Alligator mississippiensis: one gene and its partner. The protein of the gene in region 1 purifies or fractionates together with the protein of each later gene. This does not show direct contact. Links are inferred from orthologs where the notes say so. Each region holds a gene or a part of one and is shown on either strand. Other genes may lie near its edges.

Region 1 (6,960 bases):
TAAAGTTAAAACCTTATTTACAACTGTGTCAAAACAGATCCACCAGATAAATGCAACTGAAAAGCGTACTGGTAATCATATAGAAAGCAATTTCAGGGTTAATATATTCCAAACGCACAACTGTCAAAAGCATACAATAAAAACAACCAAAAAGGGCGGCAGATAACATCACAGCAATTTAAGTCACCTGTAATATTCAAAATATGTACACCCAAGTGCCTATGACTGGATTTGCCAGTTCCCTCCATTGTTCGCACATTCCTACTACTTTTCATAGCAATTGCTCTTTGGCTAATGGCTCAGTTCAACCCCCCGCCCCTGCCCAAAATGCATCTAAAAAGAAAAATCCTAGTGATGTCATTGCAAGACTGCTACATCCATTAGAGTCTGAAATGGCAACATACCCAAGTATGGCCATGTTAGCAGAGGGTGGAGACTGTAGGGCAAGGTAGGAATTCAGAAGCAAACAGGAAATGAATGGCAACCCAATAGAAACTTGGGAGTGACTGAAAGATGAGTAAACTTTTTACTGAGTTTAGACATTAAACTTACACTAGTTTAACAAGTGTACTAAAGGTGCTATGGCCTTGAGGCGTAGTCAGAGAGCATTAAAACAATGCAAATATTTTGAAAACAGGTTATTTTCCTAATACTTAAATGCTACATTACCTTGCACTTAGGGAAGCATCGGGTAAATTTACTTCTTAAAAGGGCATTCTGAGGGGAAACAAATTGCTAAAAACTTCATATAAATAAAACGCCAGCTGTAATTTTAACTGCCCCATGATCTTCCTAACATGTTCTTTTACTGTTTGTATTCTAGTATATGAATCTAAACTATTATTAAAGAGGTTTATCCAGTACTACCAAAATAATTAGTGGTGTTATGCCTTCACACTCATTAGCAAGAATCTGAATCACCTCTGACCTTGGGCAACCATGATTTGAGATTCCACTTGTTAATCTAAGCAAAATGTGTTGGCAAATCGCTTTTTTCCAGGTTTTTGTATTAGTGCTCGCTGGTAGCACTACATTTCCATATACAGAAAATGTGGAAAAGCCGTTCCACCAGCAAGGATTGCTCAGCCCTTTTTTATCTTCCCAAAATATAATAGTGCCAAATATATATAAAAAAAATAGCTATTTTTCTATTTCAAACCACTGTTCCTACCATAATCTGATACTTTCATAATACACAGGCCTCGTGTTGGAGAGACACTCCTGTCTTCATAACATCGACTTTATACATTTTACTCATGATCCTTGTGTTTGGTCCTGAAGCTTATGAAAAACGTTCATGACAACTGTTGTTCACCTTAGACAGATCCTCCATATTCAGCACTAACCTAACATATTCTCTTGTTCCCCAAAGGTGGAAGAGAGTTTTGATCCACTCTTCCCAACTGACAGTGTCCCTCCAGGGAATAAATCCTCCTGATGAGCTTATGTTCAAGCTGTCTTCACTTGTATCGAGTGACAGTAGTGTTTGGGAGGGTCATCAAAACAATTCTCAAAAAAGAAAGAAAAAAAAAGAATACCTCCACACCCTGTTCTCATTTGGTATCTGCAATCTCCTTTTCCTGACTTGATTTATTTTTTTACCATCCCCCTGAAAAGTCTTCATGCAATTTTTTAGCTATACTCATCCCTAAGCACTATGCAGCTGTTTCCAGGGCAGCGTTCTCATTCATACCAGCTGATCCCACAACTCCTCAGCGTTACTGACGCGCAGCAAAATTCTCGATCCACGATAACATCCGTGTCAGACAACGCTCTGCCAAAAAAAGCTATTTTCAAGGATACTGCCGTTCCCTAGACACTTCATGCGCTCTATCCCGCAGAGCCGCAACCCTCGATTTCCCCCATTCGTATGCCGGTAGACTTAAGACAAGGCTGCGACTCATTAAGCGCTGTCATGCCCTCATCAGTTAATTTTCTACTAGGATGCTGCTGGTCCCTCGGCGCTCAACACGCCCTGTCCAGCAGCGTCAACGCTCAATTTCCCGGGTTCGCACGCACACGGACTAATACGAAGCCTGCGACTAATTCAGAGCTGTCACAGCAGGTGAGCTCTTTTCCGTCCCCTAGATACTCAACCCACGCTATCCAGCACCGCCACGGCCTCCACGTCCAGCGCTCTTGTGCACGCGGACCACGACCAGACACGCCGCGACGCACGAAGCGCTCTCGTACCCTCACCCAGAGCAGGCGGCTATTTCCCGAAAAAGCTATTTTCCAAAACGCCGCTGTTCCCGCGGCACCCAACACGTGCCGTCCGCCGTGACACAACCCTCGGACTTCACGCGGGCTGCAACTCCTGCAGTGCCGCCGAGCCCTCGCCAGCGATATCCCCAAAACAGGACGTCGCCGCTCCCCGGGCACTCGGGGCGCTCTGCCCAGCAGCGTCGCGGCCCTCCGGGCCCGCATGACGATGACAAGAAAGCTGGAGACTCGCCGCCGTGCCCGTCGCGCCCTCCCCGGGGCGGGGGGCTGGACGCTCGCTCCCGCCGCGCTGATTTCCATCGCCGTGCCGCATTGGGACGAAGACACAGACACGTCCTCCGTCCCCTACACCCACCTGTCTCGTTTGACCCATTTGGCCCCCCCACTCCTCAGGACTCCCCTCCCAAAGGCGACTTGGGGCCCCCCCAGCCCCGCTCCTAAACCCCTTGGGCTAGGAGGGGGTGGGGCTGCACCCCCTCCCACATCCCCACACGGGGGGGAGGGGCTGCACCCCCTGCCCCTCCCCCTCCCGCACCCCAACGCATCCTGCGAGGGGGGAGGGGCTGCACCCCCTGCCCCTCCCCCTCCCGCACCCCCGCGGGGGTTGGGGGAGGGGCGCGAGCCCCCACAGAGGACCCACTGTCGTGAGGGGGGCGGAGGGCGCTTACCTGGTGAGGGAGAGGGGAGGGGAGGGCGGCCCGCGGACTCTGGTCAGTCCACGCGAGGCCGGAGAGGGAGCGGCCGGCAGGGCCCGGCACTGACAAGGGATCCAGGAAACTGCCACTGCGCCTGCGCGGCGGCCAGGAGCCCCTGGGCGCACTGCGCCTGCGCGAGGGAGGCAAGGCGGTGTGGGGGAGGGCTTGGAGATGCCGGGAGTCGCCCCTTCCCCGCCGTGCACATGCGCATAGAAGACGAGCCGTTTTCCGCACTCTCCAGGGGGAAAGGCGAGCAGTGTGGGACTGAGGGAACAGTACGAGCATGCGCAGTACGGGCAGCTTGGAGGCCAGAGTGGAGCCTGCGCAGTGAGGGTAGTGAAGGGAGGGAGTACTGCGCAGGCGCGGGTTGGGGTTGCAAGTGCATTGCTGCTCCTTTGCAAGTTATTGCAGGGGTATTTGGGGCTGGGGAGGAGCAGGGTGCGAGCCCTGGGAGGAGGTGGGCTCCTCAGCGTTGCCCAATCAATGCATCTTTCATTGACCTCTTCCTGGGTTGCAGGTGTGTCACAGCCCTGGCAATGCAGCATGGCCCATGGGCTGCCAGGCTTTGTCCAGAGGAGCACCATGGGGGCCTTGCAGGATGCAGCCCTCACTGCCCAGCACGTAGGCTGCACCCTGAGACAGCACCTGTTACCTTCAGCAGAGCTCAGGCTTTTCTCCAGACTGAAGTCGGTTCCTTATTCCCAGTCCCTTTTTCAAAGCTTGTCTTTACACAGTTAAACTTTGGGAGCAATAATCTACTTCAGCCTCACAGCTGTGACCCTGTTAGCCCTGCACTTGGGGCGGCACACTCCCAGGCACTGGTACAGGCTGGGGACCGACTGGCTAAGCAGCAGCTCTATGGAAAAAGACCTGGGGGTGACAGTGGACAATAAGTTGAATATGAGCCAGCAGTGTGCCCTTGTTGCCAAGAAGGCTAATGGCATACAAGGCTGCATTAGTAGAAGCGTTGTCAGCAGAGCAAAAGAAGTGATTTCCCCCCCCTTCTATTCATCACTAGCAAGGCCACATCTGGAGTCCTGTGTCCAATTTTGGGCCTCCCACTGCAGAGAGGATGTGGACACATTGGCAAGAAATCCAGTGGAAGGCAACAAAAATGGTGTGGGTCTGGGGCACGACTTATGAGGAAAGGCTGAAGGAACTGGGCTTATTTAGTCCGCAGAAGAGAAGACCGAGGAGGGATTTAATAGCAGCCTTCAGCTACCTGAAGGGTGTTTCCAAAGAGGCTGGACCTGGACGGTTCTCAGTGGGGGCAGATGACAGAGCAAGGAGCGATGGGCCCAAGTTGCAGCAAGGGAAATTTAGGATAGATTTTAGAAAAAAAATTCTCACTAGGAGGGTAGTAAACCACTGGAACAGCTCCCCAGGGAGGTGCTGGAATCTCTGTCCTTGAAGGTTTTTAAGACCTGGGTAGACAAAGCTTTGGCTGGGATGAGCTAGGTGGGGCTGGTCCTGCTTTGAGCAGGGGGTTGGACTAGATGTGACTTAAGTCCCTTCCAACCTGAATTTTCTGTGGTTCTATGATTCTAACAAAACTCCGTCTTTCAGGACCTTCTTCCCCTACCTATGCCAAAAGGAAGGGAAGGGGGTTGTGACCTCTGGATTTCTTCTCCAGTTCTTTGTGGGTGAAGCTGCCTCTTTTCATTTGAAAATCCATGATTTAAAGGGTTGTGGTTTTCAAAAGGTGAAGCACTTTTTGATACTGTTTCACTGATAAACACCATCACAGGTGAAGTCCAGTAACACAACCATACAAAAAGGGCTGAGCAGACTGTGCAGAAAATTAAGAGCCACTCTTTGAGATGTGCAATTGCTGCTGCTGTTACTGTCTGGTTATACAACCAGTTTAGTTGTGCAGATTAAAGATATGTAACTAGGTCACATCCCATTACATAATAGGGACGAAATTGCATTTAAATACAGTTTTAGGTTTACAAAATTATTTTCACTGGCAGGCAAGGGTGAAAGCAGCCAAACCAGAAACTCTGTGGGAGTTTAGAGTTTTAAAAGCTCAATAGATGAAGGCTTTGCCTCCAATGAAGATTTGCTGAAAATTGACTGCTGCTTCAGATATGTCACTAGTGCAAAATGGAAATCCTAGTCCAGGCAGGATGGCAGCATTCTTACCATTTTAACATGTCCAGATTTGCTGGGCTGGATTAGATGTTAGTCCTGACTTGTCACTGGCATTTTTACTATAATTGTGCTAACACTGCTGGAATTTCAATAATGCTAGGGCAACACTGTGAGATTTTCAGAAAAAAATGTGAGTGCAGCGGAAGTCTTACTTGAAGGTATTGAGAAATCCAGGTGGGTCTTTTTTTAAATGCAGGCAACTGCAGATTACGTGCAAGCACATGCAATTTTGTAACTGCAAGTACAAAACATGTTTGGATTCGTAAATGGTAATTATATACACGGATAGATATTTGTGGATAAAAATACCTGCCTGCTGGTGTTTTATCGCTTTAGGGACAGTGAAAGAATCACAACATTGGGCATTCTGTAAAAAAAAAAAAATGAGAATACTGCAACATTTAGATGTTTCCAAGATACGTCTGCTGATGACTTCCCTAGAAGGAGCCAGGTGGATTATCATAATTTATTGAAATCCATTTTAAGAATCAATATTGCAGCTGTCTCAATGATCAAGAGCATCCTTATTCGTCTCAAATAGTCACCCTGATTGTTAAAAAGTTGCCGTGTTTGCATTTCTTAACTAATAACTGTCAATTTAAGGCACTCTTCTGCTCCTGTAGTTCTGTAGCAAGCTGACGCTGGGGCCTGTCTAACAGCAGCTGTGCCTTATTCTAATTTCTGTTTATGTGCAGTATATGTGAAGGGGTCATAGCCTACAGTAGGAGACAAGGGCACATAATCCAAATGCTTTTCAGCTTGCTCAGAACTTTACGAAAGTGCTGTCTTCAGGTGTGCACTTTCTTTGCCCTAGCCCCTGTGCAGTCCAGAGCACAATGCCAGGGGTCTGTTGCTGTGTGTAAGATGAGGCCTGCACCAAAGGAAATGGGAGTTGGGATTCTCAACCCCTTCACTGAGCCAAGCCTTTAGTGAGCATCTTTGGAAGCAGATTTAAGGCATGATCCACTGGGTATAAAGTGTCAAATATTCAGCACTATAGCCTTGCTGTTTCTTGAACTTAGCAAGGTTGTGTGCATACCTAATAGCTATATGTATTTCTCCCAGCCATTGGGGATGCTGTGAGCTTGCTCAGTTGGGTGGTTGCTCTGCTTTCCCTGTCTGTCTGCTCTCACCTGGCAAGTGATAGGGAGGGGAGGTGTTGGAAAGAATGAGGGATGCTTCCCCCCGTAACCGTCCCCACAGCCTCTAGACTCCCACCGCTCCCACCCTGCACAGGTCTCACTGCCTTATAACCATCCAAAGCCCCCTGTTGTCATTCTACAAGCAAAAAAAAAAAATCCAGCAGCTTTTCTGAGTTTCTCTTTCATCCAGGAAGCTTTATTAAGACTATGCATTAAGACTATTAGTGTGAACAATTATTTACAAGAGACAGCCCAGGTCACACAGACACTTTACACCTTCCGTCCTTGACATGAAAATGCAAAGTCTGTGTTACAACAGACCCCTTTCCACTGACAGCAAACACGCCTATATGATTTCATGGTGCAGGACATGCAGGGGAAGTCACAGCTTCAAGCTCTCACGGGGTAACACAGAGGTAGGTCTCTCCCCAACAGAGCTGCATACATTCCTTGTTTCCATCCCTCTGTCTGTCTCTTCCCACGTGGGCTTCTCCTTGTTAGCTCTAGCCGGCTGTTTTCATCACTATAATAGCAGTCTTGCGATGGGCAGCTGTTGGGAAGCTGTGTGACACCCTGGAAAGAGACTGGAGTTAGATCAGGTGTGGGCAAAATGCGGCCCGGGGGCTGGATGTGGCTCACCAGGCCATTCTATCCAGCCCGCGGGACCCCTAAAAAAATTAGAAAATTAATATATATCTGCCCCTGGCTACCTATCCTGCGGCCCTCGATGGCTTGCCAAAACTCAG
Region 2 (5,975 bases), on another chromosome or scaffold:
GCAGGGAGGTGGAGGGCCCAGCCCCAGCCCGAGAGAGCTGCAGTCCTGCCCTAAAAGCAAAGCAGGCCCCTCTGCTGCTGGGCCAAACCCCTGCAGATGGCACCAGGCGCGGCCTAGCTGCGGCCCGAGCACTAGGGGCAAGGAGCCACATTTGGCAGCTAGCGGGCACCCCCCTTTGCAGAGAGGCCCTGCTGGACGCTGGCAGGGCGGCCAGCAGCTGCCAGCCTCGGGGCAGGAGACACGCATCGCACGTGCTGTCCAGCGCCATAGCAGCCAAAGCTCCCCTCCAACCCCGCGCCCCCACCGCTAGGAGAATCGGAGACGTTACAGCAAATGATTAGTCATTTAAAAAAGAACATGGAGTCGACACAGTCTCAAACAAGCACGGTTTGCTTCAAATATTAACTCCTCCCTCCCTTCCCTGGGGACGATGGAGAATGCAATGTACATTCCACTGGACAGCTCCATAAGATCTGGCTGCTTCTCATCTCTCTTCCCGAGAGCAAGGCCCAGGCTGCGGCCCCCCAGCCTGGCAGGGCGGCTGTGCAGAGACGCAGGAGAGAATGAGAACGTGAAGCCGTGGAGTCCAGCACCATGGTCTAAAACTGGGCAGGGGCGAGAAGAGACAGGCCGTTAATGGCTGCAGGTCTGATTTCCGGCCACACACCGCACAGGGCCAGGTTGGCGCCCTGCCAGCCCCCCTGCGTCTGCACAGCCGAGCCGCCTCAGCCCGAGCGCACGAGGGCGGGATGGAAACAATCAGCGTGGGAAGCCGGCACTGAGGCCCCTCCCACAGCGCAGCAGGCTAGAGACATCCCTTCTCCCCCCGCTGCCTGCCCGAGACGCTCCAACCCACAGCTTCTGCTTTCGCTCCCAACAGGCTGCCGCGGATGTCACCAGCCTCCCTGCAGCGGGTGGGCGGCCTGCCCCAGGTCTCTCGGCCCTGCAGGGGCTGCTGCACCCCCCACCGCTCCCTGCACGGGGAGCCTCAGCCCCCCACGCAGGGGCCAGCGGGCAGGGGCTTCTTCTAACAGGGGGGTCAGACAGCCTAAGCAGGCCGCTCTGCTCCCCTCCACCGAGCCCTCTAACAGAACCGTGCCGCTGCCCCGCACCACGGGCGCCCACCGCCCCGCCTGCGAGCCTCACGTTTTTGAGGAACTCCTCCGCCACAATGCGAGCCCTGGCATTGACGGACAGCTTCATCTCGCTGATCTCCTTGTCGATCTCCTCCATGAAGTGTATCACGAAGTCCACCAGCTTGTGCTTGTACATCTGCTCCGTGTGGAAGTTCGTGATCAGGAAGCTGATGTCGTAGCCCTGGGGGAAGAGGAAGGGGCGAGCGCTCAGCCCTGCTGTGCCCGGGGCCCAGCGGGAAGCGGCCCGGCCCGGCCCGGCGCCCCTCACCTCCACGGCCTTCCTGCGCAGGATGAAGAAGTTCTCGGCTCTCATCATCATGAACCGCATGAACTTGTGGCAGAGGATCTTCTCGATCTCGTCAGCCTGCGGGCAGGCGAGGGGGGGAGCAGGGGGGCGGAGGAAGTCAGGCTCGGCCCCCCCGCCCCGCCCCGCGCCGCCCCCCCGGGCCCCGGCCCCGGCTCACCTGCTTCACGGCGATGCTGACCCGCACCGAGTTGATGGACCCCTCGATCAGCACCTTCTCCTTCTCGTTCCGGCTGATGATCACGGGCTGCAGCAGCAGCTCTTTGCTGCTCCTGGCAGCCGCCCACACGTCAGCCCCGGCCCCGGCCCCCGCCCCCGCCCCCGCCCCGCAACGCCAGCGGCCCCCGGCGCGCCGCCCCCCGGGCCCGGGCCCCGGCCCCGTACCTGACTTCCACCTCGGGCTTGTTGTGCCGCTCCACCACCTGCGACGAGAAGTTCTCCAGGCAGAGCGCGGCCTGCAGCGTGGCGCGCACCGCGCTCAGGTAGGGGCGCAGCGTGGCGGTCTGCGGGCAGCGGGCACGGGTCAGCGCGCCCCGGCCCCCGGCCCCGGCCCCCGCCCCCGCCCCGCTTCCCCGCCCGGCCCGGCCCGGTCCTACCATGGCGGCGCTGACGGCGGCTCCGGTGGGGTCCCGGGAAGCGGAAGCGGAACTAGCGGCGCGGGCGGCTCCTCTGTTCCGGGACGGGCGGCACCGCCCATTGCGCCCCGGGGGCGGGGGGGGGGGGGCGGAGCGCTGCAGGAGCCGCAGCCGGAGCCACCCCCTCACGCGGGAGCAGCGGCCGCGCCGGGGCCGCGACTTCACCTCCGAGGCCGGGGTCCTCTCGCCGCCGCGGCCCCGAGCGCCCTGAGCGCGCGCCCCCGCCAGCGGGATCCGCGCCCCCCCCTCCCCCCGCGCCGCACTTGGTACGGCCCCGCCGCGGCCTCCATATTAGGGAACGGAGAGCGAGCGGGCGGCGCGGCCAATGGGGATCTCCGCGGGGTGCGGCCCAGCCAATGAGGAGCGCGCGGGGCGGGCGCTGACTCTGGCTACGGCGGCCGGAAGGGGCTGAGCGCGGCCGCGGCGCGACCCCGGCGGAGCGCCCCCGCCCCCCGCGCCCGGTGCCGGCGGCGGCCACGTGCGGAGCGCCCGGTGCGCGGCGCCCGGCGCGATGAGCGAGTTGAAGGACTGCCCGCTGCAGTTCCACGACTTCAAGTCGGTGGACCACGGCAAGGTGTGCCCGCGCTACACGGCCGTGCTGGCGCGCTCCGAGGACGACGGCATCGGCATCGAGGAGCTGGACACGCTGCAGCTGGAGCTCGAGACGCTGCTGTCGTCCGCCAGCCGCCGCCTGCGCGTGCTGGAGGCCGAGACCCAGGTGCGGGGGCGGGGCGGGGCGGGGCGGGGCGGGGCAGGGGGGCCGGGCCGGGCCGGGCCGGGGCTGAGCCGCGCCGCGCCGCCCGCAGATCCTGACGGACTGGCAGGACAAGAAGGGGGACCGGCGGTTCCTGAAGCTGAAGGAGCACGACCTGGGCGCCCCGGTCAAGCACGGCAAGCCCAAGAAGCAGAAGCTCGAGGGCAAGGGGGGCCACGGGCCGGGGCCGGGCCCCGGGCGGCCCAAGTCCAAGAACCTGCAGCCCAAGATCCAGGAGTACGAGTTCCCCGACGACCCCGTGGACGTGCCGCGCATCCCCAAGAACGACGCGCCCAACAGGTGCGTGCCCGGCCCCGCCCGCCCGCCTGCCCCGCTCCGCCCTGCCCTGCCCTGCCCTGCCCTGCCCGGCCCCCTCGCAGCACGGCTCTGCCCCTCCCCCCGCAGGTTCTGGAACTCGGTGGAGCCGTACTGCGCCGACCTCACCACCGAGGAGCTGCGCGTGCTGGAGGAGCTGCTCAAGCCGCCCGAGGACGAGGCCGAGCACTACAAGGTGAGCGCCCGCGGGCCCAGCTGCGCCCGGCGCTGCCGCCGAGCTCGCGCCCTGCACGCTGCCCCCGGGCCCGGCCTGGACGGGGACCGCAGCCAGGCGATGCTGAGCCGATCCCGTCCCCCCCACCGCTGTCGGCCCCAGGGACCCTGTCGGGGGCCTGAAAGCCCAATGCGGCGCCAGCCAGGAGGGGGCGTTCTCTGCCCTCGCACCAGGCACCGAGCAGCATCTCGGGCGCCAAAGGACGCCCACGTGTCGCTGCCAGGCAGGGCCAGACAAGCGGTCTCTGCCACCCCGCAGGGCTCCCGGCTCGGCCATCAGCCTCTGGCTGGTTGGCAGCAGCAGAGCACAAGGGAGCGCGGGGCAGGAGTTGGAGGTGATCCTGCAGGGGCTCGGCGCAGGCTCCTGGCGTGGTCGGGCGCATGGGGCAAGGCCAGGGCACCGGAGCAGCCCCTTGTGTCGGCAGCCCAGGGCCAGGCACGGTGCAAAGCTCCGGGTGCGATGGGCGTTCTCAGACTTGACGCAGAGAAGCAGGGACGCTCAAGTGGCCCCTCCCTGAGCCTGCCGATGTGCTGTGAGCCTGGCGCCCTGTGACTTCCTGGAGGCAGGGCCTGCAGCGCTGCAGGAGCCTGGGCGCTGGGCCGTGGGGCTGGGGCACTCCCCTGTGGCCGTGTTCCCCAGGAGGGGACGGCGGCTCGGGGCTCCCCAGCCGCGTGCTGCTCACAAGGCTTCTGTTGCAGATCCCGCCCCTGGGGAAGCACTACTCGCAGCGCTGGGCCCAGGAGGACCTGCTGGAGGAGCAGAAAGACGGCGCCCGCGTGGCTGCAGCTGCGGACAAGAAGAAAGGCGTCCTGGGGCCACTGACCGAGCTGGACACGAAAGGTGCCTCTGGCTCAGCCCTGCATCCCGGCAGCTGGGCACAGGGGCACCTGGTGCGGGGCACGGTCTGGTTCAGCCAGGCCTGGGGAGCACAGATGACCTTTGGGCTCCGGGGCCCTGCCCAGCACGCGGGCACCTTGCTCTGCAGCCTGCCTGGGCACGCTCTACGGGGGGGCAGGTGGGGTGAGGCCTGGGACCAAGAGCCACAGGTGGGAGGGGGGTTCCCTCGCTGCTCAGCTGGCTCGGGGGCCCATCTCCCCAACGCTGCTCATAGCCCCCTCCCCGTCTCCCTGCAGATGTGGACGCACTGCTGAAGAAGTCGGAGGCCCAGCACGAGCAGCCCGAGGATGGCTGCCCCTTCGGCCCCCTGACGCAGCGCCTCCTACAAGCGCTGGTGGAGGTGAGTGGGGCTCCGGGCTGGGCCGTACTTGGCCCCCGCTGCCCAGCGCTGACCCCTGTCTCCACGCTCTGTTGTTAGGAGAACATCATCTCCCCCGTGGAGGACTCCCCGATCCCCGAGATCGTGGGCAAGGACTCGGGGGCTGATGGCGCTGGCACCTCGCCCCGCAGCCAGAACAAGCCCTTCAGGTGAGCAGCCGTGGGGCCCCGCTGCCCTCTTCCCTGCGGCCCGCCTTGAAAGGGCCCGTGGGGTGACAGCAGCCCGCCCTCGTCCCTGGCAGCGTGCCGCACACCAAGTCGCTGGAGGGGCGCATCAAGGAGGAGCTGATCGCACAGGGGCTGCTGGACTCGGAGGACCGCCCGGCCGAGGACGCTGAGGACGAGGTGCTGGCGGAGCTGCGCAAGCGGCAGGCGGAGCTCAAGGCGCTCAGCGCTCACAACCGCGCCAAGAAGCACGACCTGCTCCGGTGGGTACCGCAGGCGGCCTGGGGGCCGGGGCCGGGCCTGGGCCTGGGCCTGGTCTGGTGGGGCTGACGGCTCTGCCCTGGCAGGCTGGCCAAGGAGGAGCTGCACCGGCAGGAGCTGCGGCAGCGCGTGCGCATGGCGGACAACGAGGTCATGGACGCCTTCCGCAAGATCATGGCCGCGCGGCAGAAGAAGCGCACGCCCACCAAGAAGGAGAAGGACCAGGCCTGGAAGACCCTGAAGGAGCGGGAGAGCATCCTCAAGCTACTGGACGGCTAGCGGGGCTCTGGACTTGCCCGCGCCGCCCCGCTGGAGACTGGCTGAGCGCGGGGCCGTGTGCCGGGGGGGGGCCGCGCTCCCTGGGGTCGGGGCTGCGGGGGGGTGGAGGGGCCTTGCTTGCTGCCATGGAGCGGGGCGGCCGGGCCCGCACCCCGGCTGCTTGTCTGCCACGGCCAGGCGGGCGCTGCGCCGCCCTTGCCCTCCCTCTCCCCGGGCGCCTCTTGCTGTGACTCCCCTGCCCCTGGCTGCCCCAGCCCAGCTGGCCCGCGGGGCGGCCGATGTGGGGGCGGCCCCGCGCCCGGGGGTCGCGTTGTGTGCGGCCCGCGCCTGCCCTCAATAAAGCCCGTGCGCGAAGCCTGCGCTGTGTGCGGTGCGGTGCGGTGCGGTGCGGTGAGGGAGGGGGCGGGGGGGGGGCAGTGAGTGGGCCCCGCCCCCCCCGCGCTAATTTTAGCTTGGCCCCGTCTCCAGGCACCCCCGCCGCCGCCCCCCGATTGGCCGCGCCGCGCCAGCCCCGCCCCCTGACGTCACCGGTGGCTGGCCCTGGCGCCGGGGGAGCCGCTGCGCCGGGCGCGGGACCGTGCAGCGCCGAGCACCGCCCGCCCCCCCGGCCCCGCCC

What was found.
Region 2: the proteins of ARPC1A (region 1) and ARPC4 fractionate together in Homo sapiens (co-fractionation; 7 studies listed by BioGRID and IntAct, with this or other methods). This does not show direct contact. The link is inferred for Alligator mississippiensis from reciprocal best matches to the Homo sapiens genes ARPC1A and ARPC4.

The regions. Positions count from the first base shown.
Region 1 is NC_081836.1:53,602,619-53,609,578, reverse strand, and holds the start of ARPC1A (actin-related protein 2/3 complex subunit 1A), read right to left. Parts: upstream 3,007-6,960; 5' UTR 2,892-3,006; intron 1-2,891. UniProt on the Homo sapiens protein: Probably functions as a component of the Arp2/3 complex which is involved in regulation of actin polymerization and together with an activating nucleation-promoting factor (NPF) mediates the formation of branched actin networks.
Region 2 is NC_081835.1:473,069-479,043, reverse strand, and holds ARPC4 (actin-related protein 2/3 complex subunit 4), read right to left. Parts: upstream 2,146-5,975; 5' UTR 2,040-2,145; coding exon 2,037-2,039; intron 1,944-2,036; coding exon 1,825-1,943; intron 1,713-1,824; coding exon 1,601-1,712; intron 1,501-1,600; coding exon 1,405-1,500; intron 1,318-1,404; coding exon 1,147-1,317; intron 606-1,146; coding exon 600-605; 3' UTR 512-599; downstream 1-511. Other genes in the region: TADA3 (transcriptional adapter 3), read left to right, coding at 2,587-2,793, 2,882-3,129, 3,235-3,340, 4,078-4,219, 4,513-4,616, 4,695-4,804, 4,897-5,082, 5,167-5,359. UniProt on the Homo sapiens protein: Actin-binding component of the Arp2/3 complex, a multiprotein complex that mediates actin polymerization upon stimulation by nucleation-promoting factor (NPF).